Linked DNA regions of Ovis aries. The protein of the gene in region 2 purifies or fractionates together with the protein of the main gene of each other region. This does not show direct contact. Links are inferred from orthologs where the notes say so. Each region holds a gene or a part of one and is shown on either strand. Other genes may lie near its edges. The genes, in order: RAB6B, GDI1, RAB9A, RAB10, RAB7A, RAB6A and RAB24.

Region 1 (3,523 bases), on a different chromosome or scaffold from region 2:
TGAGCCTCAGTTTCAGCCTCTGAGTGTGGCCCAAGGTCTGGAGTGGACTGGGTGAGTGGTGTGCAGACCCTGTCCCCGGGGCAGTGGGGAGGCCCCAGGCTGTGCCGGGCTGGGTTGAGGAGGCAGTTGTCTCATGTAGAGGAGGCTGAACCATGCTGAGATCATGTCTGAATGTACGGAAGTGGAGATTCTGCTTGTCCACGTGAAACACAAATCTGTGTTCACTAGAAAGAAGGGCAGTTACTATCTCTCACTCCCTGCCCCACGCTGTCACTCCACACACAACCCTCTGGCACCCCTACTCTGTTCTGGAAGCTTGTTTAGTTCAAGCTGGACGGGGTCTTGAAGACCTTGGAGTTCAGCCTCATTCCTGTACATATGAGCCTCCACAGCACAGCTGCCCATCAGGAAAGCTGGCCTGGGGACCAGGCAAGGGTTTGTCCACTGTTCTAATACATCATGTGATAAATCCATGAATAAATGACTTCTGCAGCATCTTTCACTCACTTGTCAAAGAAAAGGATACTCCCTTCTTTGCTTTTCTCCTGGACATTCTCCATTCCAGGCAGAGCCGAGGCCACACGTCGGAAGAGCTAGGGAGAGGGGAGGTGCAGCATGAGCCCCATCCTTCCCCCTCTGCTCCCGGCATGCCCACCTTCTGCCTCTTCTCACTGACCTCAGGCTCTACTCCTGTCCTGTCCCGCTGACTGCATCCTGGACAGCAGAGACTGCACCCAACTTCTCCCTCCCACCCCCTAGCACCCCTCACGGCACTGGGCCCCAGCAGGCCTCTCACCCAGGCAGTCTGGCCTCAGGGTCTCGGGGGCTGAGTGTGGGTCATGGTGATGGCCAGGGATCCACCCTCAGGCAGAAAATGATCTAGGCCCTGGGGAGCTTCTGTCCCAACGCCCACCTGGGGGCCAGGTGTGGGGAAGTGGCTTTCAACCTGCCCTTATGACAATGACCCTCTCTTCAGGGAGTCTTGCGAGTGCACAGCATCGAGGCAGCTGGCTTCTAGGAGCCAGGGCCACAGTCAGAGTGGAGGAGACTTTTCAGAGGGAATAAGGACGTGGGAGTGTGAGTGTGATATTGCTTGGGCATGGGCGAGTGTGACTGCGTGTACTGTGTGTAGAGGAGTGTGTGTGGTGTGGATGTGGATGTGCGGCATCTGTGTGTGTATGTGGGGGGGTGCGTTTGTGCGACGTGTATGTGCACATGCGGGGTTTCTGTGCCTGTGTGTTTGTAAGTATGCATGGAGAGCTGTGTGGTGTGTGTCTGAGTGCATGTGCTCACTGGGGCAGGGGTGGGCAGGGTGTCAGGGGGCGGTGGCAGGACCTAGGGGGATGGAACCTAGGGGGATGACAGCAAGTACAAGGCAGAAGATTCTGAATGCTCTCCCCATCTCTTGACAAACACCAACTGCGGAAACTAGGTGGGCTCTGAACTAGGAACTGCCTGAGCTCTCTGAAGACAGGTTGAGGCTCATTCATGGTCTCAAGGCAGAGCCCAGTCACGTGGGACCACCCAGGCTGGGTGACAGGACCAAACATGGTGAGGGTGAGGGCCCCCAAGTGGGGAAGATGCTGGTGGGTGGGGTGCAGAGAGGGGTAGGAGCGGGTGCAGAAGTCCAGTCACTCACTGAGCCTTCCTCCATAACCATGCTCCAGGCAGCCCCACTCCGCCTGTCTGGCTGTCAAAATAGTCACAGCCTCTGTCGGTGGCCAAGCTGCCAATCAAACAGAAGCTCTAAGGGTCACATAGGGGCCTCTGAGAGCAGACAGGCTCACATTCAGAGTCCAGGAGCCTGCACCGCACAGAGACTCCTCTGAACCATCTGGGGTTGAACTGACTATACACAACTCTTGCTCAGACCATTGCCTGGCTTCCAGAAAGGGGGCAGTGGAAAGAGGGCATCAGCATCTCTGTCCGCTGAGGGCAGAGGCCACCTGCCCTCTGGACCACTGACCTCTGCTTCCCTGCCCTCCAGGCCTTTCCATCAGGACCACACTGAGCCACAACCTGGTGTCTCCTGTAGGCCTCCAGGGACCGGGGAGGCTGGCAAGGGGGCATGAGTGAACAGAGCAATGCTGAGGCCCTCCAACTGGGGCGGGGGCATCCCCTGGGTCTGGGAGCTCATTCTGTCCGTCCCACTCCTCTGCCACTTCCCACTGGCACAGCACTGCCCAGGTGGGGTAAACCCTCAAACCCTCATTGCGTGTGGCCAGCTGCTGCATGGCAGCTTGTCTAGCGCTCTTGGACACTGCTGGGGCTGGCAGGGCAGAAGTGACCCTGGCAAGGCCCCAAAGCCCCTCCAGCCCCACCTGTGCCCATGCCAGTCCCCTGCCCGGGCAGCCCCCTCCTCATCAGCTATCCAAGTCCTCTTTTCCTTGAAGACACGGGATCCTCACCTTTTCTGAACCAAAAACTGGTCCTTTGGCAGGCTAGTGAAGGCTATGGCCTCCTTTCAAGCATGTGAAATGAATGGTCCACTGTCCATAGAATTCTCCAGGCAAGAATAATGGAGTGGGTAGCCATTCCTTTCTCCAGGGGATCTTCCCAACCCAGGGATTGAACCTGGGTCTCCTGCATTGCAGGCAGATTCTTTACCATCTGAACCACCAGGAAAGCCCAAGTTTCATGTAAAGGAAACCATTTAGTATTGAAATAAATTTCTAAACTCTTTAAAGATACAGACCCTTGACATAGCAACACCTGTGCTTCCTCAGGAATGTGTTAAAGAGCCGGAGCCGGCAGAGGACCCCCTGAGATACTGAGCGGGGAAACGCTCAAGAGACTTGAGACACCAATAAAGCCAGGGGAGCTACTAACACACGGAGTCCTGTTGCTACGCTCATGGCCACAGAAAATGCTGCTGATCTGTCAGGGGGTGGTGCAGAGACAGGTGCAGTCGTTTCCACCCAAGTCCACTGACCTGCTGAACGCCATCTGTGAGAAGTCTCTTGCTCCGAGGCTCAGCCCTAACCCCACCCCTTCTATGGCTCCTCTGAGGAGTCTGACTCTGCAGGCCCCCTCCTGTAAGCTCTAACCGCACTGAGGATGGGCTCTTTTCCCCAAGTCTACCTGGCCCAACGCAGCCCCAGGCACTTGTCAAGCACAATGCAGGAACCCCAAAATGCTGAGTGGATGGACTCTCCTGCATGGCCATCCCGAGTGAGGGAACAGGTAGGAAAGAGCTGCTTCTCGGCTGCCTGGAAGCTGAGGGCTGGACACCCACGGTAGCTCAGGGGCTGCGGGGCTGGCTGCTGGGTGAGCACCCCAATACCCTGAGGGTGAGCAGTTAGCTCTGGAGGGACTCACTCCCCATCAGGTGAGCCACCTGGTCACTAGCCCCTGGCACCAGAAGCCCAGTATGGGCCCCTGGTCAAGGCGGCAGCTCCCACCTGCTTCACGTTGTAGCCAGTCTTCGCACTGGTCTCGATGAACATGACGCTCAGTTCTTTGGCACGCTGCTCGCCCTCCTCTATGGTTATCTGCCTGGAGGGGAGATGAGGGGAACCAGTTT
Region 2 (4,302 bases):
TTGGGGCAGCTCGCCAAGGCCATAGAGTGGGTACAGATACGGGCTCTTTCCATACCGAGCCAGGGATTCGCTGTACAACTTGATGCGGTTGATGGTCTCGAGACATGGCTGGTCCAGGTAGCTGGGAGAAATAGGGTCAGAAGAGGCTCCAAGAGCAGAAGGCCCAGTGCACCCCCACCCTGGCATCAGGCCAGCCTTCCCACCCTTGCAGGCCTGGGAAAGACCATTGGTCAAACACAAGGAAGGGACAGAAAAGGCGACAGGTGAGTGAGCCCGGAGCTGAGTATGGGAGGTAGGCAGGGTGAGCCAAGGGAGCAGCAGGCAGGAGTGGGAGGGCAGGGTGTGGGCCGGCTGAAGGGTCATCTGCCATGCCAGTTTCCCCTCACTCATCAGTGCGGTAGAGCGCTAGGGCATGGCCAGTGAAGTCAATGACATCCTGCCCCAAGTCGAACTTCCGGTAGACGTCACGCATGCTGGTGTTCTGGGGGTCGACACCCTCAAAGGTCTTGGGGTCGTTCTCATCAAAGTTTGCCACGAACACCAGGAACTTGCGGAAGCGCCGTTTCTCAAACATGCCCATCAGGTCTGTGAGGGCCACATGCAAAGCACCACTGAGGTACGGGCCGTGACCCTCTCCACCTGCCAGGCAGGCAGAGCAAGCCGGTGCCCTAACTCCCAGCAGAGTTCTCTTGCTGACCACTGTGTGATTTTCAATTAACCCCTCTGTGCTCATTGGCCTGTTTTCTCAACTGTACCAAGAGTGAGTCTGGCTGGACAGCCTCTGAGAGCATTCCCAGCTCTGACACTTGGGGATGTTTCACTGATCAGGTGAAGCCTCTGTCCAGGACACCATATTCCCTTCGCACTTGGACACCTCTCCTGGCAACCAGTGGGTGCACACAGGGGGATGATAGAGCAAGGGGCTTTTGGTACTGCACAAGAAACATGGCCTGCAGCAAGGGCCATCCTGCTCTTGATAGCTATCCCCCCTTCCCCCACCCCGATTCCCTGGCTCATGGGACCCACACTCACTGGAAGCCAAGGCTTCAGTCTCGGTAGATGGTACTTTGTAGATCTTGCCCCCCTTGTAGACAAAGCTGCCCTCCACCACCTTGAAGTCCAGGTAGCGTGTCACCTCTGTATACAGTAGCATCTTCACAAGCTGCCCTGCAGGGCGGTGTGGGAAAGGCAACACAGTCAGCATGGCTCCCTTCACAAGCTCAAGCTGGTCTGTCTGTCCCTGGTCTGCAGTCTGACCCTTCTCTGCTCGTCCCAATCACCCCGCCTCCCACAATACCTCCTCCGTCTCCCTCACCATTGGCCATGAGGAATTTGGGGATCAAGTCAACGTTCCAGTCTCGGCCCCGGCCCATTGTCTCAGGGGGCCCCTCCAGCAACTGAAAACGCTTATACAGCTGCAGGCAGCAGAAGGGAAAAGAGAGACAGAAAGATGCATCTCAAGGAACCCCCTCCCACTCCCGCCCCTGCCCCCGCCCCCCACCCAGAAAACCTGGGGAGCTGCTTCATTCAGCACCCCATGCAAGAGGTTAACGAGGGACAGGCCTGGGCCCAGAGCAGCCTACCTCCTCCAGGGGGGTGATGGAGGAGCTCTCACCCCCATAGTAGGGGTTCCGGTCCATGTGCAGCACCTTCTTCCCGTTCACAGACATGATACCCGACAGGATACATTCCTGAGTGAGGGGCAATGTTCACTGCACTCCCATCTGCCCACATTCCCACAAGCAGCCCTGACCATGTTCCCCACTCCAACCCTGAGGGGAGAGTCAACCTGAAGGGCCTCTGCCTCAACACACAGCTCCTTGCACCTGTGGCTGGTCGCTCTGCCTGAAATTGGGGGGGGGGGGGGACACCTTCATTTGACCATGGTTTCCTTTTAAAACCTTGCTGGGCAAAAAGGTGAACAAGGAAGAGGGTATCCAGCAGACACATGGATGGTCTTCAAGCAACCAAGATGCCAAGAAAATCATCTATCGACGTAGAAGCCCACAAAAAGGCAAATAAAACACAGGGATCGCCTAGCTGGACAAGCAAAGGACCCGAAAAGGAAGTAAAGGCTTAGCATGGTGCCGAAATCCCAGGCCCCACCCTGGGCCACTTTCCTCAAAGAGGAACCCCTGACCCTGAGCTTTCCCCGTCACAGTAGGGGCTTCCACACCCGACTGTTGGGGAGGCATCTCTCAGGGCAGCAGTCCAACAGGGTTCGGGGGAGGGCAAACAACCTCACCAGTCACTGTCACCAGCCCAAGGACAAAGGCTGCAAATGCGCCTCAGCCCCGAGGTCTCCATGGGAAACCGGGGTGGGGTAGTGGGAATGTGGTCACGGTCCCCACCACGGCTCCTTCTGGAACATTCCCTGGGTCCTCGGGCCCCCTAAGAACCTGGGAAGGCAGGATGAAAGCCCACCCTGGGAAGTCCCCCCGCCCCGATCTGACTGGAGGTCCCTGTACCACGACATCCCCGTCAGAATGAGCGCAAAATGAGAAGGGATGTTAAGTTGGTCCTGGGTAGGGGCTGGGGGTCGGGCCCGGGGAATCGGTCAAGAGAGACAGCCAGAAAAGGGGCCGCTTCTTGGCAGACCGGCCATGACAGGGATGGAGGCCGCGTCACGGTGGTTGGGGACGGGGCTATCTTTTCGGGGACCGAACAGCGCCGCGCAGGCACTGATGGGAGGATGGGGCCGGGGGCTGCAGCATCCCAGGGAGGAGGACAGGCGGCGCCCTGGACACCGGCGGCCGCACTTACGGTGAGTCCGGTTCCCAGCACGATCACATCGTATTCCTCGTCCATGGTCAGGCCTCGGTGTCAGCGCCCGTCGGCTCCTCCTCCTCCGCCACAGCCGCCGCCGCCGCCGCAGCCGCCGCCGCCGCCGCAGTGGACCAAAGATGGCGGCTCAACCGTGCCGCTCAACCCCTCCGCCACGTCAAAGAGTCCCGGCCCCTCCCCTCCGCCGCCGCGCCGACCGGGGGCCCCTGCTGTCCCCGCTTGCCTCCCGGGGAGGGTTGCTGGAGCCCGGGCTCTAGCACTCGCGCCACTCGGCGGGCCGCGCCGCTTTGCCGAGGGCCTAGAAAAGAGGGCGGTGAGGCGGGGCGGGGCGGGGCGGGGCGGGGCGGGGCGGGGCGGCGCGGCCTGGCAGACGGTGCTGAGGTCCGCCAGGGATCCGTGCGCAGGAGCCGCGCGCGCCCCGCCCCGGGAAGCTCGGCGCGGCCCCGCCGGCTGGGCGCGCGCTGCTGCAGCAGCCCGAGGCGGGCCCCTAGGGACGTGGGGGCGACTATTGTCGTGGCCGTCTCCCCCGCCTCCCTCTCCCGGGCGCTGACGGCCCCCGCCCTCCCCTAGTCGCTGAGGCGGGGGCCGGGGGAAACCCAGCTAGCAAACAACCCTCTCGGCCTCCGCTTGGTCCCTGGAAAAGCAGCCTCCATCCCTCCATCCTCGGGCCTCCTCTCTCGGCCGTCAGCCAAGTGCATCCTCCCTTCCTTGTGCCCAGCGCAGAAATGAGTGACAAGAAGCCCAAGCATGGCGACCCGTCTTTATTTTATTCGGAAGGAAACCACGAGCACCCCAGGGCTCCTGCCAGGTACTCCCGACAGGAACAGGTCCCAAACCCCGTGATCACACCCATCCCACCTGCCATGTAGATCCCTTCCTTCTTAGGCCAAAGGAATAAACCCCAGTGTACGTCTTATTGTTAGCACATCACCAAAAAATAAAATAATAACGCCAGCTAAGCGGGACAGACAAATAGTACTTCCACACTCCCCCCCAAACTCAGGGAATGGAACAGCTCCTGGCTGCTACAAGGAACCCCATAGAGCCTGGGAAGAGAGGACTGGCTACACAAAAGCACTATCAACAGCAAGCAGCGAAGGTGGAGAAATCAGAATAAATAAGGAGAAGGGGGGTGGATTTTGTAGAACTGATGGCCCCTACCTTTATAATGATCAAGCCTGGGAGATCTGTCTACTGTCTATGCAGAAATATATACACCTTGTGGAGAGAGATGTGGTGGGGAGTGGGCAGCCTAGGGAAGACCCTCAGCAGGCTGAACAGGTAGCCTGACAAGCTAGGGGGAGCCAGGGAGTCGTGCAATGGCGGAAGAGGGAGAAGCCTTCCTGCCCAGTGGGCCTCTGATGGGAAGGTGACAACCTGGACCTCAGGCACGCCCTCAATCCCCCCCCCCATCCCCCGCCCCTACAGGTGTGGAATCACACGATCTGGGTCAAAGTGATGGTGGGGCCCTTGTGGTCGTCGAAGCGGTCCATTGTCTTGAGGCTGAGGATCATGTGC
Region 3 (2,562 bases), about 68 Mb from region 2:
ATGCCTTAACTACCTTCCCATTGAGGGATTCATATTATCTACTTTCATGGGAAAATTAATTGCCATTTTTGCTGTAGGGCTGTGCTATCCAATACAGCTGTTTGCTCTTTAAATGTGACTATTCAAATTAGTTAAGACTATATAAAATTTAAAATTCATTTCCTTTCTCCCACCAGGCACAAGTTCAGTGCTCAATAGCCACATGTGGCTAGTGGCTGTCATATCAGACAGTCCACATGGAGGGTGCCTCCTTCGTTGCAGAAAGTACTGTTAGACGGTACTAAAAATTGTCTGCTTCCAGAAATTTTAATATCTTAAAAAGCCATTTTATACTGAAATATTTACAGACTACATGCTATAATTTGATTCAGAATAATTTGGGAGAAGGGAAAATGGAACACTATGGAGGAAACAGGATTTGCTGTAAGTTGATAATTGGTGAAACTAGGTTTAGGGCCTGTGTGGTATCATTATATTATTCTCATTATTCCAAAATTGTGTATGTTTGACATTTTCCATAATAAAGAGTTAAAATAGAAGCCTTAAATACAAACAACGCTCCCACCAGGCTGTAAATAGGTGGCTGAGTCTTCATATGCCACCCCACCCCACCCTTGCCCTCCTCACTGGTGCACGGGGCAGTCTAGTCCTTCCCAGGGCTTCCCCTCAAAGCATGGGCACCATACCACATTTTGGTTTAAGGTTCATTGCATCCCCCTTCGAAATACAAGTAACAAACAGCCCAGGCTCGCATTTGTTCAGAAGTGTTGGAGCTGCCCAAACGAATCTTGTGGGTAGAATGTGCTAGGTTACTATATTATGATAAAAATTCCATTGGTGCTGACATTAATGTTAGCCAATACAAAAAAGTGTCCTCAGTGAAGAGAACAGAGTCCTTTACTCAAGTGGTTGGCTTTGGTCTGTTCACAGCCAGATCAGTGAACTCTGTCCCCTGTTCCCTGCTTGGCAGCTCCTATGGTGATAGTGTTGGGAGAGAGACAGAGAGGATTGGCTAGAAGCCCCCTGGCCTGAGAGGAAAGCCATCAGTGAACCATGCCACCAGAGGGCAATTTGCAGTTGCTCTGGAAATGTGCCCTCTTCGGTCTCCTGGTGCCTCTCTAACAAATGGTGGCAGGGCTTGTTGTGAGCTGAGAGGATGGTTTGGGGGTTAGACTCGGCTTTGACTGCCAGCCTCAGTCAAGGGTAACCAGAGGAAGGGGAAGAACGAGCCCTCAGCAGTGGTCGTCGGGAGTGACGGTAGGATGGAGCCTGGCGCGAGGTGCAGAGCTCAGTAGCTGACATCTCTGGCTGTCACGTATTCCCTGCGTTTTCTTTCCCTTAGCACTGATGTTCAGAGAGGCACGTGGAACTAGGTACAGGTCTAAAGGAATGTAATGGTACTCTTCTGTTTTACAGGGTTCCACAGTCAGAGATCTTGAGATTAATAATGGCAGGAAAATCATCGCTTTTCAAAGTCATTCTCCTTGGAGATGGTGGTGTTGGGAAGAGTTCTCTAATGAACAGATATGTGACTAATAAGTTTGATGCCCAGCTCTTCCATACAATAGGTGTGGAGTTTTTAAATAAAGATTTGGAGGTGGATGGACACTTTGTCACCATGCAGATCTGGGACACGGCTGGTCAAGAGCGCTTCAGAAGCCTGAGGACGCCGTTCTACAGAGGTTCTGACTGTTGCCTGCTTACCTTTAGTGTCGATGATTCTCAGAGCTTCCAGAACTTGAGTAACTGGAAGAAAGAATTCATATATTACGCAGATGTGAAAGAGCCCGAAAGCTTTCCTTTTGTGATTCTGGGCAACAAGGTTGACATCAGCGAGCGGCAAGTGTCTGCAGAAGAAGCCCAAGCCTGGTGCCGGGACAACGGTGACTATCCCTACTTTGAAACGAGTGCAAAAGATGCCACGAATGTCGCAGCAGCCTTTGAGGAAGCAGTTCGAAGAGTGCTCGCTACCGAGGATAGGTCAGATCCCTTGATTCAGACAGACACGGTCCGTCTGCACCGGAAGCCCAAGCCCAGCTCATCTTGCTGTGGAAGTTAGAGAGGTAGCGACCTGACCAGCTCACCCACATGCACAGATGGGCTCTGGGCGGAGAAGAGGGTACGCGTGTGCAGCGACGCATCACATACTCAAACATTAACCGTGCCTGTCAGTGGGTGGGGGAAGCGACACATCCCCTCACGAGAGAATCCATTTACTCAGTAACGGCGCCTGACACGCACCCATTGTAACGGCTGTCTAATAATGTTTAATTTAAATATGTATGTTACAGAGCTAATAAATGAAATGACCAAGACTTTATAATTAAAACACTTGAGTATCCTAGAAGTTACTGTCTTTTCCCTGGGAATATGGAGAACTACTTTTTCTATGTGTATATTTTTATGTAATTAGCATTCTGTTCTGGTTCAGGGAAAGCATGTCCTAAAGCAATAATGTTAACTATTAAAGATCAAAATTGAATGCATTTGCACTGTGGTTATTTGATTACTACTTCTTTCTCTTTATGTTCATTTTTTCACTCTGCGTATCAGAATTGATCT
Region 4 (4,223 bases), on a different chromosome or scaffold from region 2:
CACACCTGCGCTGCCATTTGGCGGGGAGGTCTCCCCAGCGCCCAGGTGTTCCTCGGTATTCTTTCTCCCCTCCCTGGAACTCAGATTACATCATCTCAACCTGAGCAGCGTGGCCAGATTTCTCCCATTTCAAACTCCCGCTCTCTTGAATGCCAATTCTTGTTCCTTAAGCAAACCAGGTTGGAGCTGTTATGTTTCCCCCAACAAGAGGGAGGACACTCCAGGACGAATCTCATTTTGGCGAAGAGGCTATTAAATGACCCAGGGTACTACTTTCCTCGCATTTACAAGCTACAGCTGCACAGGAAACACACGGCCACCCAAGGCCGTGGCTGCGCCAACACCCTCAGCTCCATACGCTTGTCAAACGCGACCCGAAACATCCTCAGCGAAGTCGGAGAGCAACCGGAAGAAGAAAATCCGGGGTGTCAAGGCGGAGAGGGGGGCGGGGTAACGCCGACATGCCGCGCCTGCGCAGTCACTATACAGCGCCTCCCCGCGGGGCGTGCTCGTCAGGCCGCCGCACCCTATCAGGCGGCCGCAGGGAGCGCGCCCGCGGCCTCGCCCTCTCTCGCCCCACCCCTCTCTCATCTCCGCCGGGCCTTAAACTGAGGTTGGGAGACCCAGAGCGAGCTCCACTCTCCGCCCCGAGCGGTCCCGCACTCCCCCTGGCGCGCGTGCGCAGGGGCGGACCGCAGGACGAGGGCGCGAGGGGAGGGCGGGCGTACGTCCTTGCGTGCGTCTCAGGCAGCGCGCACGCCGGCGTGAGAGGGCACGGGGAAAAGGTGGCTCTGGCCGGGGCGGCTCGCTTTCCTGTGGCTATGTAGCTGAGCTCGTCAGCTCCGGGTCCTCCTTCGCTGACTTCGCCGCGTCCTAGCGTTGAGCTGCTGCTTCGGAAAGAGAGGCCGTCCTCACGCCTACCGCGCTCCCTCGACGGCCGAGCCTGCTCGCTCGCCCGTCGGAGCGTCCCGGCCGAGCAACCCTGAGGGGGGAGGGGAGGCCATTTTGTCCCGACCGACTCCCCGGAACCGGGCGGAGCGGCTGGGAGAGGCTGCGGAGCAGCGGTCGCCGCCCTCGGAGGCACCGGACGCCGCCACCGTCGGGGCTTCCTCGACGAGGCAGTTCCTAGGTCACCCGCGCCCTCTCGAGCCGTCCTTTTTCCCACGGTTCCCCCCGGTCCTCCGGCCTGAGAACGCCCGAGCGAGGAGGAGTTGGCCGTAGTGAGAGGGACCGATCCCTTGGGGCCGCCGGCGGCGAGAGCCTGAGCCGCTCCTCCCAATGGCGAAGAAGACGTACGACCTGCTTTTCAAGCTGCTCCTGATCGGGGACTCGGGAGTGGGGAAGACCTGCGTCCTTTTTCGTTTTTCGGATGATGCCTTCAACACCACCTTTATTTCCACCATAGGTAAGACCTGTGGGAGGATGGTGTGCGATCTCTGCAGCTGCAAACCGTTCCTTTTGCTCCAGACATCTTGCTTCCCGTAATATACGCCTTTGTTTCAGTGATCCCGATTCCAAGCGACAGACCAAGTTACTGTTTGAATCGGCATTGAGCTTTCTGGGGCGGGGTCTTCCCCTGCTTTCCATCCGGTCTTTTGCTCTCAAGTCTCCCACTCTGCTCAGTGCCTGCTGTTACAAAATATGCAGCATTAGCAGCGTTCCAGAATCCTGTTTCTTTAAGCGTCAGGGTTGGCTTTTTCCATGTTTGTGTGGCGTTACTAGATGTACGATACTTGTAAGGGATTATTTTGATGGTTGGAGTTGAAGCAGTAGGGGTCATTTGGTAAAGACCTGAATTTATACTTCAGGGCAAAGAGATTCCATATGGTCGTAACTTAGAGTAAGCTTGAGGGTTTGTGTAAGGAATAATTAAAGTAAATTAGAAGGGAAAAGTGAGTTGCCCCGCGTTGACTAATCCATTGATGTGTCAAACAATCGGAGGCTCTTAGTGCTTGGGGTGGGACTCCGGCATGTTTGCACACAGTGCTTTTCGAGACATCAGCAGAAGCAGTAATCTGATGGAGATGGTCAGTTTCTGTCCTCGAACCTGAAAAAATGAAGTTTTCCCCTCCTGTTTTACACTAGCATCTTACAGGGAAGTGTCTTGCAAGTCATAGCCTTGGGACTTTTAATGTACTTTTCACCTCATGTTTCAGAATTATTTAGTATGAAAGTAAGAGCTAAAGATTGACCTTTTAAATCGGTTTCTTGTTTAGGAAAAGAAAAGGGAAGACTCTAGGAAAGTCCCTTTCAACTCTACGGAGAAAATTAAGTGTCATTTACACGAATTGTGTTAAATTGGGTTGGATGTGCGATCCTTTTTTTTCCCTCACAAGATAAATATCTTAACACGAGGTTGTCTCTGTCACTTGGCGACCAGTACACAGCATTGGGGCAAGTGCAATAAAATCCATTTTAAGTGTAATTAGTTTTATACTGAAATGATTATAAAAAACTAGCATAGTTTTCTTTGAACTCTGGGAAGTGTCGAATTTAAGCTGATCTCAATTTATAGCATTTGGAATCGATGACTTGGATTTCTTGTGATAAGTGTCAGTTACTTAGTTCATTCTCATAAAACAGATAATACTGAAATTTGGCATTAGATCGTTTTGACTAGATTTTGATTTTACTTGTTTTGGGGAGAGGGCGTCTTTGTAATTCTTGTTTCATGAATGTCATGCTGCTCTCTAGACCTGTTGTAAATTTCATGAGACTTAGAACTTGTTCTCTGCCTGTGGGTTAGCACTTCCTACCACTAACTTTACTTTTAAGATTCCACTTTTAGCTGTAGCTGGGTGGATCAGGTGGTTAGATCCTTCAGCAAATATTTATTGAGCACCTAACGCTAGGCACTGTTTTCGGGATAGATAGATAAGTGGTGAACATGGCAGGAGCAGTCTAGAGAGGAAGCACAAGAGTGTGGACAGTGCTGCAGTGGGGTTGGCACAGGGAGAGGGGTGCTTAGTCTAAATTAGGCTTGCATGGAGATGATGTCTGAAATGAAGTCTGAAGGACAAGTAGAAATTGAACTAGAGGGGTGGGAAAGGGAGTGTAGACTCCCTTTAGTGTAGACTAAACCTGTAGTAAGATCAGAGATTTAATCCACGTTGGTTAGCTTTAACCTGTGGTTGAGAAAGGTAGAGTGGAAAGTAGGAAGCAAAGGATTAACTCCCATCTACTCTTGGCCTTTTGTAATGGGTGCAGTGTTGTTTATTGTACTCACAACTAAAACCCAGTCCTGTAAGATAATGACACAATCTTATGTAGTTTTGTGGGACCTTAGTTCCCAGACCAGGGTTTGAACCGTTGCCCTCAGCAGTGAAAGCATGGAGCTCCAGGGAATTCCCTCCTGTAGTAGTGAGAGTGTGTGGTGATTTGGGATCTCACCTGCTGGGTTGGAATCCTAGTTCCACAGGTTACTGGCGGCAGTTTGACAAGTTAATTAACCTTTTCTCCTACTTCAGTTTCTTTAAATATTGTAAATAATAGTACCCATCACAGAAGGTAGTTGTGAGAATTTTATGAGAGCAAAGTGCCGCCAGGCACACTGTAGGAGCACAGTGCATGCATATCAGTTATACATGGACACATGCCCCATGTGCTATAGTGGGGCAGAACAAGTTACTTTATGGATTGAATGCTCTGTATGCAGTGGTCATGCAAATATTGGTTAGTGCTCTGCTAAACATATCACTTTACACTCTGGAATGTTCATATTTTGATATAAAAATATTTGATGTGTGTGATATTTTGATATCTAAGACAGGTTGAACAGAATATATGGATGTAAAATTCTGAGTGCAGCTCCAACATGTGGCATATATTAGCTCTATATGCATGTTTAGACATCTCCTGGTGTCTTACATCAGTGTTATCCAAAAGAAACATAATGTGAGTCACATAAGATTTTTTAGTAGCCACATTTAAAAAGGAAAAGAAGTATTTAATAGTCTTTTAGCTCATTTTATCCTGAAGTCTTCTCATTTTATTATATAATCAAAACTTAAAAATAGTTGAGACATTTTATACTTTTCTCCAGTGTGTATGTATGTTATCTTTACAGTTCATCTCAGATTAGGCACATTGGGACAGTGCATGTCTAAACAGTATAAACTGGCCAGTTGGCGAATATGCAGATGATTAGAGATACTTAAAATACGTACTACTTTTAGGGCATTTTAAATTTCATCAGTTGGCTAAGTTTTTGTTTGTTTTGCTTT
Region 5 (4,035 bases), on a different chromosome or scaffold from region 2:
TGGACCTCCAGGGAAGCCCCAGAACGTGAAGCCTCTTAAGGAGCCAAGTGAAGGAACTGTGTTTTTCCCAAGTGTTGAAAGGGAAGCCCCTGAAATCAGATTAAGCTGCTACATGAAGAAGCCAGGCTGGCTGAACAGAAACACAACTTACAGGGCCGTGAAGCGCACAAGACTAGAAGCCAAGAAGACCACTAGAATGGCCGCCGCAAGAGCCCAGGAGAGAGGCAAGGATTCTTCAGCCTCAGCACAGGCAAGGGTGCTGGGGAAGGGACGACTTGGACGTTTTGGAGACACAAGACAGGAACCGGAAGCTGCCAACTTTACAGCAGAAAACTGAACCACAACAGCAAAACCCAGGGAGGCCAGTTAAACTCGAACTTTGGGAAAAAAAGGGAAACTGCTGGTGTGCCTCGCGGTACTGAGGACGCCCCCCCCCCCCCCGCCCCGGTGTCCCGTGCTGCGTCTGGCAGGCCGCGAGGTCTGACGGGGAGGGCGGCGCCAGGACAGAGGCGGGGCGGCGCAGCGCGGCGGCGCTCACCTGCATGGTCACGAGCCTGTCGTCCACCATCACCTCCTTCGTCAGGAAGTCCGCGCCTATCGTGGCTTTGTACTGGTTACTGAACTTCTTGTTCACGTACTGGTTCATGAGCGAGGTCTTCCCGACTCTGAAATGGGAGAAAAACCACAAGTCAGGCCGGTCGGCATCGCACACCGACTCTGACGCGTGCCATCTGGAAGGACTGTCTGTCTCGCAGGAGAACAAGGCCCGCCCCTCCCAGTGCGGGGGAAGCCTCCAGTTCACCCAGTGGCGATGCGCGCCCACCAGGGACGGACGTGGGCTACCGGCGGGGGTCAGGTCCAGAGAAGCACTCCTGAGCTCTGGTACAGCTGGTAGAGCCGAGTGTTTCCATTTCTCTCCTTCCAAAAGGGGGCTGGCAAATGCTCTCCTTCTAAAAGAAGCTCCAGCAGTAAGATCCCTGCACTTGTCCCGAAGTGTCTCTGCCATCTTGGGTCTCTCCGTTTAGTGGTGGTTCTTCAGTCCAAGAGAGTAGCGGCAGAGGCGCCCACTGGCTCCCAGCAGACATTCATGCCAGCCAGCCAGCCTGCTGCTGTTGGTTTAGTCGCTAAGTCGTGTCCGACTCTTGCAACCCCGTGGACTGTAGCCCGACAAGCTCCTCTGTCCGTGGCACTTTCCAGGCAAGAATTACTAGAGTGGATAGCCATTTCCTTCTCCAGGGGATCTTCCCGACCCAGGAACTGAACCCGGGTCTCCTGCATTGCAGGCAGACTCTTTACCGACTGAGCTGTGAGGGAAGCCCAAACCAAGTTTAGAATCTGAAACAGAAAAAGCACCAATAATCCGCCAAATTGGAATCCACCAAAGCAGGCTCCCCAGAGGGGTGTTTCAGTAAGAGAACTCAGCAAGAGACCGGGGTGACTCTTCGGGTGACAGGGCAGCAGGACAGGCTGGTAACACCTTCCTTTCCACAAAGGCAAACACTCGCTTCACCCACAGAGGACCTGGGAGGACAGCCCAGGGCAGTGTTCCCCACCCGGCCATCTGGGCCCGAATCTCCAGCGGAAGACAACAGGAAGTCTGTCTTCAGGCAAGTCCAGGAAATGGGCCGAAAAGCAGCACTTTCAATCCTGACAGTGCAGCAGAGGAACCGAGAGGCGCGCGCGGGAGGCGGGCCAGGGAGAGCAGAGATGGGCGGGGCGTGTATGTGGATGCGCGGATGCAGCCAGCGCGGGCCTGCGGCTTGTGGTGGACGCGCGCTTTTAAAAGGCTTCTCAGCGGATTAAGGAAGCCAGCCAGGGCAGGAAAACCACTGCCTTTTAGGCACACTTGCATCATTACATGATTTTCAAAAGCACGTCGCCTCCGGTCTGAGCTTTCAAGGGTCACTTCAGATGCCAAGTCTGAAAACCTCACCTGCACCCCGAGTCTTCCCAGTGACCACAGAGCTAGTCAGTTACCTGGCCAGGGGAGACCCAGGCCCAGCCGGAGGCGGGTGCAGGCGCGCCTCCCTTGCAGGCGCTCCGCAGAGTGCCTTCCGCCTCGTTTTCTCTCTTTGCAGACCGCACGTCGGTGGCGGCCCCGTGTCAAGCTAGTCACTTTTCCAACGACGTCTGCTCCCTTCACGTCTGTGTCCCATTTTGATAAATCGTGCAGTGGTTACAACTCTCCCGTCATCACTCTGCTCTGATCTGTGACCAGTGATCTCTGATGTCACTACTGCAAAAACATGAAGACTCACGCAGGGGTCAGTGGGCGGGTGGCGTTTTCCGGCAGTAAGTCGTCTTTGAACTGCGGTGTGTACGATGCTCTTCAGACACATGGTCACTGCACACCAAGCGGCGACCGCACGGTGCGATCGTGACTGTTCCGTGCCCGCAGAAGCCAGAGAGCTCCCGCGGCTCACTTCCCTGCGATGCTGACGCCGCGGAGGTGGTCTGTAAGTGCCTGCAGCGTCTCGGAGCTCTGCCTGCGCCACCAAGTATGCCCCAAACCTCCAGCGTGGGCACGGCATGCTGCCCACAGCAGCAAACCTCCATGAAAACTCTCCTCCCTCCTCTCACCAGGTAGGAAAGAGGAGCCGAATGAAATTATCACTGAGTTCTAACAGCCACCATTTTCTCCAAACGGGACAAAGGGCCCCATGCCAGGGAGACCCGGCCCCGCAGCAGGGAGAGCCGGCCCCACGGAGAGCAGCGCTAGAGCGCCACCAGGGTGTCCGCTCACGTGCGGGGACACTCACCCAGAGTCTCCCAGGATGATCACCTTCAGCAGCACTTTCTTCCTCGAGGTCATCCTTCAAGCTGGAAGGAAGGAGAAGGCACATGAGCGGCACGGAACTGCTGAGGGGAACCCCTCTCTCGGCACACGCACAGACGAGGCCCGGGAGCTCCACGCCCCAGCCTTCCGGCCGGCTCCCCGCTGCACCCGGGGCCTGGACGGAGCTCAGGCTCAGCATGGGACCCGGGCCAGGAGCGCGCCAGAGGCACCAGAGGAGCCTGCAGGAGGCGCGACCGCCGGGACGCCGGGGCAGCGTGGGTGAGCCTGAGCGCTGCTCACGCAGGCCTCCTCGGCGCAAGCCCTTTGTCCACTGTGGAGCAGCCCGCCTCTCCCCACCACTGTCTACCCCTGATGCCGCCTGGCCGTCTTCAGAGCACGGACCCTGCACGCAGCTGGAGACAGCGGACAACCTCACAGCTGGCCCTCGGCCCCCGCGCTCCTGCCTCTGCGGCTCGACCACGTGGGCTGTGCAGTCTGCGTTCTTTAAAACACTCTCACGGGCATCCCTGGTGGGCCAGGGATTAGGAATCCGCCGGCCAATGGTGGGGGCACAGTTTCCATTCCTGGCCCAGGAAGATGCCACGTGCGGTGGAGCAACTGAGCCCTGAGCCACAACCCGGGAGTTGCGACCACCGCACCCAGAGCCGAGCTCCACCCTGGGGAAGAGCCTGTGCAGCAACAGCGTTTGACTTTGCAGCTTGAGACCGTCTTTCCCCAGGAAGCCCTTCAGGAAGTCTTCTGGAGCCTGGACCAGACAGCATGAAGAGGCCCTGCTGGTGTTCAACCCCCTGACTCAGCCTGACCCCGGATCACTTTCCTACGGGCACAGGCCTTGTGGTCCTCAGGAGTGCCTCAGAGGCCTTCAGGGGGAGAGCGGTGGCAGGAGGGCAGCAGTCCTGAGCCTAGGCCGGTGTCAGGACCGCACGTGAGGACCGCGAGGAGCACCCCTCGGTGCTGACCCCACGGGAGGGCTGGGGCTGCCGCCGCCTCCAGAGGCAGCAGCGTCCTCAGCAAGGACCCCATGCCTTCCGGGGACCCCCAGCCCTGGCCCCTCCTCAGGAGGCTGGGTGGAGACGACCAGGAACCAGCAGGGGTGGCGTCCGCCTCCCATAATCAGCAGAGCGGGGACCTCGGGGCTTACACAGGACCGAGCGGGGAGGGCGTGGGCTCAGGAGAGCCTGGTGTTCTTCCAGTCTGAGCTGAAAGATGCTCCAGGTGGGGCCTGAGAAAAGCTGCCT
Region 6 (3,996 bases), on a different chromosome or scaffold from region 2:
GGGCCTCCATTTCTATAGTAATGGGGCTAGTTGTGGTTTGCCCTAAGGCAGGGATCAGCCCCTTTTTCTGTAAAAGATAATAAATATTTTTGGCTTTGGGGGCCATAAAGTCGGTTACAACTACTCAACCCAGTCTTTGTAGGCGAGTATGGCTGAGGTCTAACAAAATTTAATTTAAAAACAGGTTGCAGGCTGGATTTGGTGGAAGGGTAGTTAGTCACTCCTGTCTCAAAGCAAAAGTGGAGTTAAGAGTGAGATGGCATAAGCAAAACTTAAACTGCTTTCCTTGAAACATCTTATTATTGCCTCCACCAGTGACCCTATCTTTCAAGTTGCAGCCACTTTCCCTCACTCTCAACTGCTGAAGAGAGTCTTCTGATTCCCCTGAGGTTTCTCAGTTTTGTTGTTACTTATCTGGATTCCATATTCCCTTTATAGTTCTTGGGAGGAAGTAAGTAGCACATGGTAATTCATTACTTTGGCAGGAATGGGAAACCAAGTCAATAATTGTTTTCTTTTGTGTTTATTTATACATTTTTTTGGCAGCAAAACTTTATTAAACAGAAAATCTGCACTATGAACACACTTCACTGCTTCTGTTGAAGATCCCCAAGCCAAATAAAAAGACCAATATTAAAAGCAGCATAACTGGTTACTGCCTTAAAGATACATCAAATGCTACAGTGTAGGAAGACAATCATCCCCATATCAGAAATCACAACTTCTTCCAAATAAAGAATATGACCGACCCATCTGCCATATTGAATTGATATTTATTTCAGGACATGCCATGTCAAGATAAAACAAAAGAGTCAACCCTTGCCTTTAACAATAATATTGTATTATAAAAGCACTTTACAACTCCATCCCATCTTTGAGTACAAGTTACTGGGGTATGTGGGCTAATGATTATCTGAAAGCATTTCTCTATTCAGACCCATAATCCAAGTGCTCTCTGAATATTATAAGGTGATATAGTAAGTGGGAAGTGGAGGAGGAAGAGGAAAGAGAGGGGAATAAGGTTCTCCCAGTTAAGGGCTTTGTTGCAATGAGGGGATGAGGAAGTATGAAGATATTTTTGCTGTCTTTTCATCCTTATACTGTGTTAAGTAATGCTTACAACATAAATTCAGCAGGCTTTTCCTGAGCTATAACTCAGAAATTTACTTCCTGCAAACAATGTATTTACAAATATGTTTATTAACTTACACAGCAATCTCACAATAACTAGTAAAGATTAAAATGGTGCACTCCTAGTATATTTGTTTGCAGTGTTTTAAGGGAAATACATATTGCCATTGTGATGAAGCTCTAAAGACTGAATAAAATATCTAAAAATTAATAGTTAAAAAGGCAAAGAAATAAATATCAAAGAAAAAAGATTAATTATAGCTTAAATATAAAACTGAATCACTAATTAACCAAACTATACAGATCTAATAAAAAGCAAAACCAGGTTGAGAGAACCAACATAAAAAAAAATGCTGAAAAATAAGGCATAAATCTGCATAATGTTAAGTTTTATTTTCATTCTCTCTTTTCCCTCTTCTATGTATGCTTGTTCAGATCTGCCTCTAAGGGCTTATAAGAAAACTTTCCATCTTTAATTTGATCTCAAATGTCCTGGGCAAAGCATTTGCTATTCTGCTGAAGAGTCTACAGTTGGTACGCTTTAGATATCATTGTTTCCACTTGTTACAGTAGTTTTGATCAAGATGCCAAATTTAAATTCTTACACTGGTTCTTCTTAAAGGAATTTGATTTCTACAGTGACTTGCCTGCATAGCATTTTTAAAAAAAGAAACAAAGGAAGAAATAAACTCAAGAGAAATCTATTGCTTAAAAAAGTCTTCTTTTTCAATCAGAACTCTATTTTGACAATTTTAAAATCTTGGGAGAATTAGCTCTTAGAAGAATTAAATATTTAAAACTTGTTCTGAAGCACTTTTACTTTTCTCTCCCAGAGTCTAACATGTGCAAGGATCATTTGTTTTGGTCAGAAATATATTTTATGTTCATTTACTTATAAGTATTGGTCATTGGGACTCATTCTGAAGACACATCAGAAACCCTTTCCTTATTCCAGCACTGCCTTCCATGATAGCTGAGCTTTGACCTCAATTAAGGTCTAAGTAATTTATATCAGTGCTCAAGAATAATTTTGGATATCTTGGCTGAAGGCCTAGAGCAAGTGGTATCGCTAAAATACAAGGTAAATCCAGTGGGCTTGGTCTGACTTGGTCTGGCTTTGCCTCCTCTTGTTAGTTGAGGGAGGGTGGGTAGGACTAGGAGATGGGGTAAAGGAAAAGTGAGTACAGCAGGGAGAGATCAAGTAAGTCGGCATAGGCAAGTACTCCTATGAATAACTATTCTGTAACCAAGCCACATACTGTTGAGAGTTCCATCATTTTGAAGTACATTCTCGTAACATTAAAAATGAAAAACAATGTTAAGAAAATGTATCTAATTTTTAAAGTTATCACTGGAATATGCTGGAATCATTTGGCTTTTTGTAAAATATAAATAATGAAGACACTGACTTTTTTGTGCTTGTGAAGCTAATAGATCATCTCCACGATACAGGCAGCAATGATGAATTGCAATACGTTATTACTGAAGGGAAAAGGTTCAAGCCAATATTCACACTGCAGTCAATGAAAGAGTAAGGGGGCCAAAGCAGTGAGCTTCTGGAGCAAAGTTGAAGATGCCATGGGGGATTAGCAGGAACAGCCTCCTTCGCTGACTGGCTGCTCCTGAGGCTTTTCCAGTTTTATGTCAATCACTGAAACAAAAGTTAAGGAACCATAAACAGAGAAGTACAATTCCAATTCTCCTGGACACCAACGATTCTCCCATTCCTATTTGGCTTCAGAGCCTACTCATCCATTATTTCCTATATAGCTAGTCCACCACATGAAGTACTCATATGAAATAAATGTGCTTTTATCTCCTATATGCCGCAAGTTTCCGAACAAGGTTAATTCCTATTCATCAGAATCTATCCTAAGGTAATTATTCTACAGGAATAAGAAACCATACAAAGATGATGTTCCTTAAGGAATTATCTGTAACAAAAATCTGAAAACAGCCTACGAGAGTTCCAACAATAGGGACAGAATTTAACAAACAACTGGGCTTCAACTCGGTAGAACACATCACACTATTAATAAAGGCTTAGAAAACACATAACATTTAGAAATGGGAAGAGCTGACTATAAAGTGCTATGAATTCCATGGCTTTTAATAAAAATGTCTGCATATAGAAAAACACTAGAAGATAAATATGTGACAAATAAGGAAAATATAAAAACTCTTTTAAATAAATAATTTATATGTGCTTTGTTCTGTCCCCATTTCTGAAAGCAGAGGCAGTGATAAAGCTCTAGACTGAGTTATCTCCTGCCTATTCCAAGTAGAAAGCTCAAATGTTAGAAAACACAGGGGAAGAAAGTAAGATATATACTGTGGTGAAAAAGCCCAGAGTCAAGAGGAGTCAAAATTAAGCAGCAGCAGGGTGGGATGCTAAGAGTTTCCTGCTCATTAAAAACCAAGCAGGGAAAACAAACAAACACCCTGTCACTGATTAACTGTAGTGAGCAGCAGGCTGCAAAGAGTGCACTTGGATAACCAGACTGCATTTACTATAGAAAAACTCAGAGCTTTTTTGCTCCCAAACCATCAATTCTTAGCTCTAAAAGGCAATGGCATAATATTCCTAAGTCAACAAAGTTGGGCTTTAAAGGCCTATGTTAACAACAAATTTTCTTATGAAACAAAAAGGATACTGTCTTCTCTGCTTCTGTCCTGTGTGCTTTCCATTCCAGGTAGAGCTGCTGCAACACGTCGGAAGAGCTATGGGGAAAAAAAAGACATGATAATTGGGAGGGGAAATTCAGCAAATGACATCAAGTAAAGACCACTGGATGGCTGAGCTAAAGGATATGGCTTCTCGGTTATTCCTTAGACCTTAGCACAATTAAAACACATTAAAATGTC
Region 7 (4,061 bases), on a different chromosome or scaffold from region 2:
GGTTCCCTAGCCACATGTATCCAGAGCGCTCTAGTTCCGGGGGGGACGTGAGAGGGGTCTCACCATCAGCCGGGCGTGGTTGATGTTCCAGGTGAAGGTGGTCATGGTCTGGTTTTGTGGGTCCACAATAGAATCCTCCAGGATGTACACTGAGTGAGCAACATTGGCAGGAAACAGTCGCTCAGCCCAGCGGGGCATCCTGTTCGTCTTGGTCAGGAGTCGGCGGGACAGGAGCTTCTGGTCAGAGGTCACCTCTCGGTGCACTATGTCTTCCGTCAAGACATGCTTGCTGCAGGTGTCAGGGTGAAGGTGACCCTCAGGAGCCTGACCCTGGGAGACTGCCTGCTGAGGTTCCCATCTGGAGCCTCCACGCTCAGAATGGCCAGGCCTTTTCCCAAACTTTCAGAGTAAGCTGTGGTTGTGGCTCAGACCTGAACTGGAGCCTTTGAGCCTCTCCCAGGGCAAATTCCAACTCCCGCCCCCTCGCTGACCTGGATTCCTGGGCATTCCAGCAGGGGTGGACCTCCTGATTTACTGCACCACTGGAGAGCAGTCAAGGGCAGAGAAGCAGGCAAGCGCCCAGACTTCCAACCCCAAGATCCCTCCCCAATTCCTGTGCTGCTTCCTCTTCCTGTCTCACCACACTGAGATGAGAGAACCTTAAGACTAGGGCTTCAAGTAATCCACTGCCCAGGCCCAGCCTCCTTCCAGTACCCTGTAGGCCTAGTCTGGCCGCTTACCCGATAGGGTTCTTCTGCCCTAAACATGGCCAGGCTCTGGAGATCCCCCGACTCAAAGTCGAGTCTTTCCCGGCCCCCAGACTCCGATCTCCAAAGAGCGAGGTAGGAGGGTTGCTCTTCCCAGGGCCACGTACCTATAGGGATTCGGGTACCGCTGCCAGAAGGCAGCGAACACTTGGTCCCAGGAACTCCGGAGCACGCTCTGGCCCAGGAAATACTTCACCATCGTCCCGGCCGGGGCGGGCTCAGCGCCCGAGCAGCATCAGGGGTGCGGAGCCCGAGGGGCACGCGGAGGCCGGGCTGGAGCTCGACGCTCAGCCGCCAGGCTAGCAGCAGGTCAGTCGCTACAGCGCCGCACCCGACCAGCCACCGCCGCCGCCGCCGCCATGAGGAATTATCGGGCCGCGCGCCACTTCCGGCTCAGCAGTGAAGTACCCACCTCTTCCGGTGCCTGCCCACGTGACCCGACGACCCCGCCCCCACACTCTCCTTCCCCCTACACCCCTCTCCCCTTCCCCGGCCCCGCCACCGCTGGAGTCGCGGCGCTGCGGGCCGGAGCTGGGTTGGAGGATCCCCCTGGCTCGGTGGGGAATCTGTGCCGGCGCGGCCTCTAAGCTAGGTGGGCGAGCGAGCGGCAGAGCGAGCTAGCAAGTCGGGCGGCGGCGTGCGGCGCCGTTAAGGGCGCTGCCCCGCGCGCTCCCAGGCCGCCCCGGGTCCCAGGCTCTTAGGAGGAGAATTCCTGGGCCCGAAAAGCGGGGGCGGACGGAGGCGTTGTCATCGCTCAAGCTCGTTGCGGCGTGTGGAACCTTAGGTTGGCGCCTGGGGTCGGGGACTGAGGTTAAGGGCGCTGCCTGTCGGAGCGGAGATCCGGGTTTGCCTCGCGCCCCCGCTCAGGACCCTGACGCGGGTGAGGCGGCCCCGGGAGCATGAGCGGGCAGCGCGTGGACGTCAAGGTGGTGATGTTGGGCAAGGAGTACGTGGGCAAGACGAGCCTGGTGGAGCGATACGTGCACGACCGCTTCCTAGTGGGGCCTTATCAGAATGTGAGTGCTCCCGACGGGGCCCAGCACGGGTGGGAGGGGGCTAGCCGACACGCGAGGCTCTGATCGCTTCCCCTTGGTTGCAGACCATTGGGGCCGCCTTCGTAGCCAAGGTGATGTCTGTCGGAGACCGGACGGTGACTTTGGGTATTTGGGTAAGTTCTCTGGGCACGTAATCTGGGAAAACCCACTCTTGAGGAGGCGTAGTTCCTGCCTTGTACTGACTTGTGGGCTCACGGGGGTTTCTGTTCTCTAGACCCCAGTTTAAAAACAGGGGTCTGGAGGACGTGATATTAGTTTGAAGTCGTGGGGAGTATACCTTCGTAACTCAGGCCAGGGCTGAGCCTCCCCCTGCCCTTCAGGACACAGCAGGCTCTGAGCGCTATGAGGCCATGAGCCGAATCTACTATCGGGGCGCCAAGGCTGCCATCGTCTGCTATGGTAAGAAGAGTTTTGGCCTGTTGCTCAGACAAGAAGGGGAGGGTGCCAGGCTGGCCTTATAGAACAGCCCCTCACCCTTGGTTGTGTTTCCTGTGTTCCACACCAAGACCTGACAGACAGCAGCAGCTTTGAACGGGCAAAGTTCTGGGTGAAGGAACTGCGCAACCTAGAGGAGGTAGGTGGCCTGACCTCACCAGAAAACCAGGCAGGGGCTGGCGGTCTGGTGGTCCAAGGGAAGTGACCCTGACCTGTCTTCTGCTCCAGGGCTGTCAGATCTACTTGTGTGGCACCAAGAGTGACCTGCTGGAGGAGGACAGGCGGCGGCGACGAGTGGACTTCCACGACGTTCAGGACTATGCAGACAGTAGCTGCTCCTTAGCTCCTTGGGTTGGGGAAGGAAGGGGCTGCTTGGGTGGGTCACAGAAAATAGGGGCTGCCTTGGCAAGATCCCCCACAGGAAGACTTTCTCTGGCCTCCCTGCATCTTTCAGAAGAGTCCCTGTACGGCTAGTCTGTGCCCACCTAATTCTCAGGTATGAGGCTTTAGTCTTTTCTCTTTACAGATATCAAAGCTCAGCTCTTTGAAACATCCAGCAAGACAGGCCAGAGTGTGGGTGAGTGCTGTCCTTGGCCTCACAGCAGAACACACAGGGGCAACAAAGGAGGCAGAGGAAAGCCCAGAGGGCTGGGTTACTATGGGATCCCTGGGCTCCTAGCATCTGGTCCTCACTAATCACCCTTTTTCCTGCCAGACGAGCTCTTCCAGAAAGTGGCCGAGGATTACGTCAGTGTGGCCGCCTTCCAGGTGATGACAGGTGTGTCCTTCCTTAGCTCCTGTGGAGACTCCCTTCAGGCCCACAGCACCTGACCCCCACCCCCCGGAAAGTATGTTGAGCTACCACCTCTCTCTTTAACAGAGGACAAGGGCGTGGACCTGGGCCAGAAGGCAAACCCCTACTTCTACAGCTGCTGTCATCACTGAGTCACCACTCACTTGGCCTGGGGGGGGATTCCCCCAGGGAGTCTGGACCTAGCTCTTGTCTGGGCTTGGATGATCAAACATCTGAGCTACCTGGGTCCCAGTGGCAGCAGAGGTGGCACCTGCCTGTGCTGGCCCATGGAGCGGAGACAGCATTGGGGCTGACTGATGGGCACAAAGAGGGTAAGGGCTGATTTGGACCCCAGGCTTCTGCCCTGGACAGCAGTTGTGTCTACAGATTATTTAAATGGCTTCTGATTTGTAAATAAAATCAATGCACTGTGAATTACACTCAACCCCTTTCCCTGCTGTCTGGATTGGGTGTCAGGACACCTAGGACTTTCTGGGGCCACCTGGTTGGCCTCACTTCCTATAATCAGTGTTCTTCTCAGGTCTTATTTTCCTTTGGAAACCAAGTGGCTTCACCCTAGGGTTGCAGCTGAGATAATGGAGAAGCAAAAGGGCCCTTGCTGGGTTCTTTGGTGGGGGCAGAGATAGGGTGAAAAGCTGGGGTTGGGGCAGTGCAAAGCTCAAATGGTTCCTTCTTGGTGTTAAGAACTGGAAAGGCACTCAGGTGGTACCAGAGATCAAAAGGTCAAGCATTTCTGCCTCGGACTGGCTGGCTCTACTGCACCTCTGTCACGTCTAGGTCTGTGAGTCATCCCTGTGGCTCAGAGCCTAAGCTTCCCAGCAGCATTCTATAATGTGGCTTAATAGTAGACAAATTACAGGTTCTGCAAGACTTAGAAAGGTCTTAGAGATCCAGATTGGGCTCTAACTACCCAGAAAAGGGACTCAAACTTGGCTGTGTTCTCCTTTTAAAATGAGGTGACTAGTACCTAGTTCAAGACTATGAAGAGTA

Evidence for each region.
Region 1: the proteins of GDI1 (region 2) and RAB6B purify together in Homo sapiens (co-immunoprecipitation; 3 studies listed by BioGRID and IntAct, counting the BioPlex papers as one, with this or other methods). This does not show direct contact. The link is inferred for Ovis aries from reciprocal best matches to the Homo sapiens genes GDI1 and RAB6B.
Region 3: the proteins of GDI1 (region 2) and RAB9A purify together in Homo sapiens (affinity purification with mass spectrometry; 3 studies listed by BioGRID and IntAct, counting the BioPlex papers as one, with this or other methods). This does not show direct contact. The link is inferred for Ovis aries from reciprocal best matches to the Homo sapiens genes GDI1 and RAB9A.
Region 4: the proteins of GDI1 (region 2) and RAB10 purify together in Homo sapiens (co-immunoprecipitation; 4 studies listed by BioGRID and IntAct, counting the BioPlex papers as one, with this or other methods). This does not show direct contact. The link is inferred for Ovis aries from reciprocal best matches to the Homo sapiens genes GDI1 and RAB10.
Region 5: the proteins of GDI1 (region 2) and RAB7A purify together in Homo sapiens (affinity purification with mass spectrometry; 4 studies listed by BioGRID and IntAct, counting the BioPlex papers as one, with this or other methods). This does not show direct contact. The link is inferred for Ovis aries from reciprocal best matches to the Homo sapiens genes GDI1 and RAB7A.
Region 6: the proteins of GDI1 (region 2) and RAB6A purify together in Homo sapiens (affinity purification with mass spectrometry; 3 studies listed by BioGRID and IntAct, counting the BioPlex papers as one, with this or other methods). This does not show direct contact. The link is inferred for Ovis aries from reciprocal best matches to the Homo sapiens genes GDI1 and RAB6A.
Region 7: the proteins of GDI1 (region 2) and RAB24 purify together in Homo sapiens (affinity purification with mass spectrometry; 3 studies listed by BioGRID and IntAct, counting the BioPlex papers as one, with this or other methods). This does not show direct contact. The link is inferred for Ovis aries from reciprocal best matches to the Homo sapiens genes GDI1 and RAB24.

The regions. Positions count from the first base shown.
Region 1 is NC_056054.1:256,161,426-256,164,948, reverse strand, and holds part of RAB6B (ras-related protein Rab-6B), read right to left. Parts: intron 3,496-3,523; coding exon 3,402-3,495; intron 594-3,401; coding exon 527-593; intron 1-526. UniProt on the Homo sapiens protein: The small GTPases Rab are key regulators of intracellular membrane trafficking, from the formation of transport vesicles to their fusion with membranes. Rabs cycle between active GTP-bound and inactive GDP-bound states.
Region 2 is NC_056080.1:80,001,177-80,005,478, forward strand, and holds the start of GDI1 (rab GDP dissociation inhibitor alpha), read right to left. Parts: upstream 2,809-4,302; coding exon 2,764-2,808; intron 1,692-2,763; coding exon 1,584-1,691; intron 1,416-1,583; coding exon 1,316-1,415; intron 1,168-1,315; coding exon 1,033-1,167; intron 586-1,032; coding exon 387-585; intron 122-386; coding exon 1-121. Other genes in the region: ATP6AP1 (V-type proton ATPase subunit S1), read right to left, coding at 4,221-4,302. UniProt on the Homo sapiens protein: Regulates the GDP/GTP exchange reaction of most Rab proteins by inhibiting the dissociation of GDP from them, and the subsequent binding of GTP to them. Promotes the dissociation of GDP-bound Rab proteins from the membrane and inhibits their activation.
Region 3 is NC_056080.1:11,842,901-11,845,462, forward strand, and holds RAB9A (ras-related protein Rab-9A), read left to right. Parts: upstream 1-1,447; coding exon 1,448-2,059; downstream 2,060-2,562. UniProt on the Homo sapiens protein: The small GTPases Rab are key regulators of intracellular membrane trafficking, from the formation of transport vesicles to their fusion with membranes.
Region 4 is NC_056056.1:33,317,354-33,321,576, forward strand, and holds the start of RAB10 (ras-related protein Rab-10), read left to right. Parts: upstream 1-1,405; 5' UTR 1,406-4,223. UniProt on the Homo sapiens protein: The small GTPases Rab are key regulators of intracellular membrane trafficking, from the formation of transport vesicles to their fusion with membranes.
Region 5 is NC_056072.1:59,086,954-59,090,988, forward strand, and holds the start of RAB7A (ras-related protein Rab-7a), read right to left. Parts: upstream 2,813-4,035; coding exon 2,760-2,812; intron 666-2,759; coding exon 539-665; intron 1-538.
Region 6 is NC_056068.1:51,877,333-51,881,328, forward strand, and holds the end of RAB6A (ras-related protein Rab-6A), read right to left. Parts: intron 3,853-3,996; coding exon 3,786-3,852; intron 2,783-3,785; coding exon 2,718-2,782; 3' UTR 508-2,717; downstream 1-507. UniProt on the Homo sapiens protein: The small GTPases Rab are key regulators of intracellular membrane trafficking, from the formation of transport vesicles to their fusion with membranes.
Region 7 is NC_056058.1:36,477,140-36,481,200, reverse strand, and holds the start of RAB24 (ras-related protein Rab-24), read left to right. Parts: upstream 1-1,258; 5' UTR 1,259-1,666; coding exon 1,667-1,783; intron 1,784-1,866; coding exon 1,867-1,935; intron 1,936-2,142; coding exon 2,143-2,221; intron 2,222-2,328; coding exon 2,329-2,396; intron 2,397-2,485; coding exon 2,486-2,585; intron 2,586-2,783; coding exon 2,784-2,834; intron 2,835-2,972; coding exon 2,973-3,035; intron 3,036-3,137; coding exon 3,138-3,202; 3' UTR 3,203-4,061. Other genes in the region: PRELID1 (PRELI domain-containing protein 1, mitochondrial), read right to left, coding at 64-289, 875-966.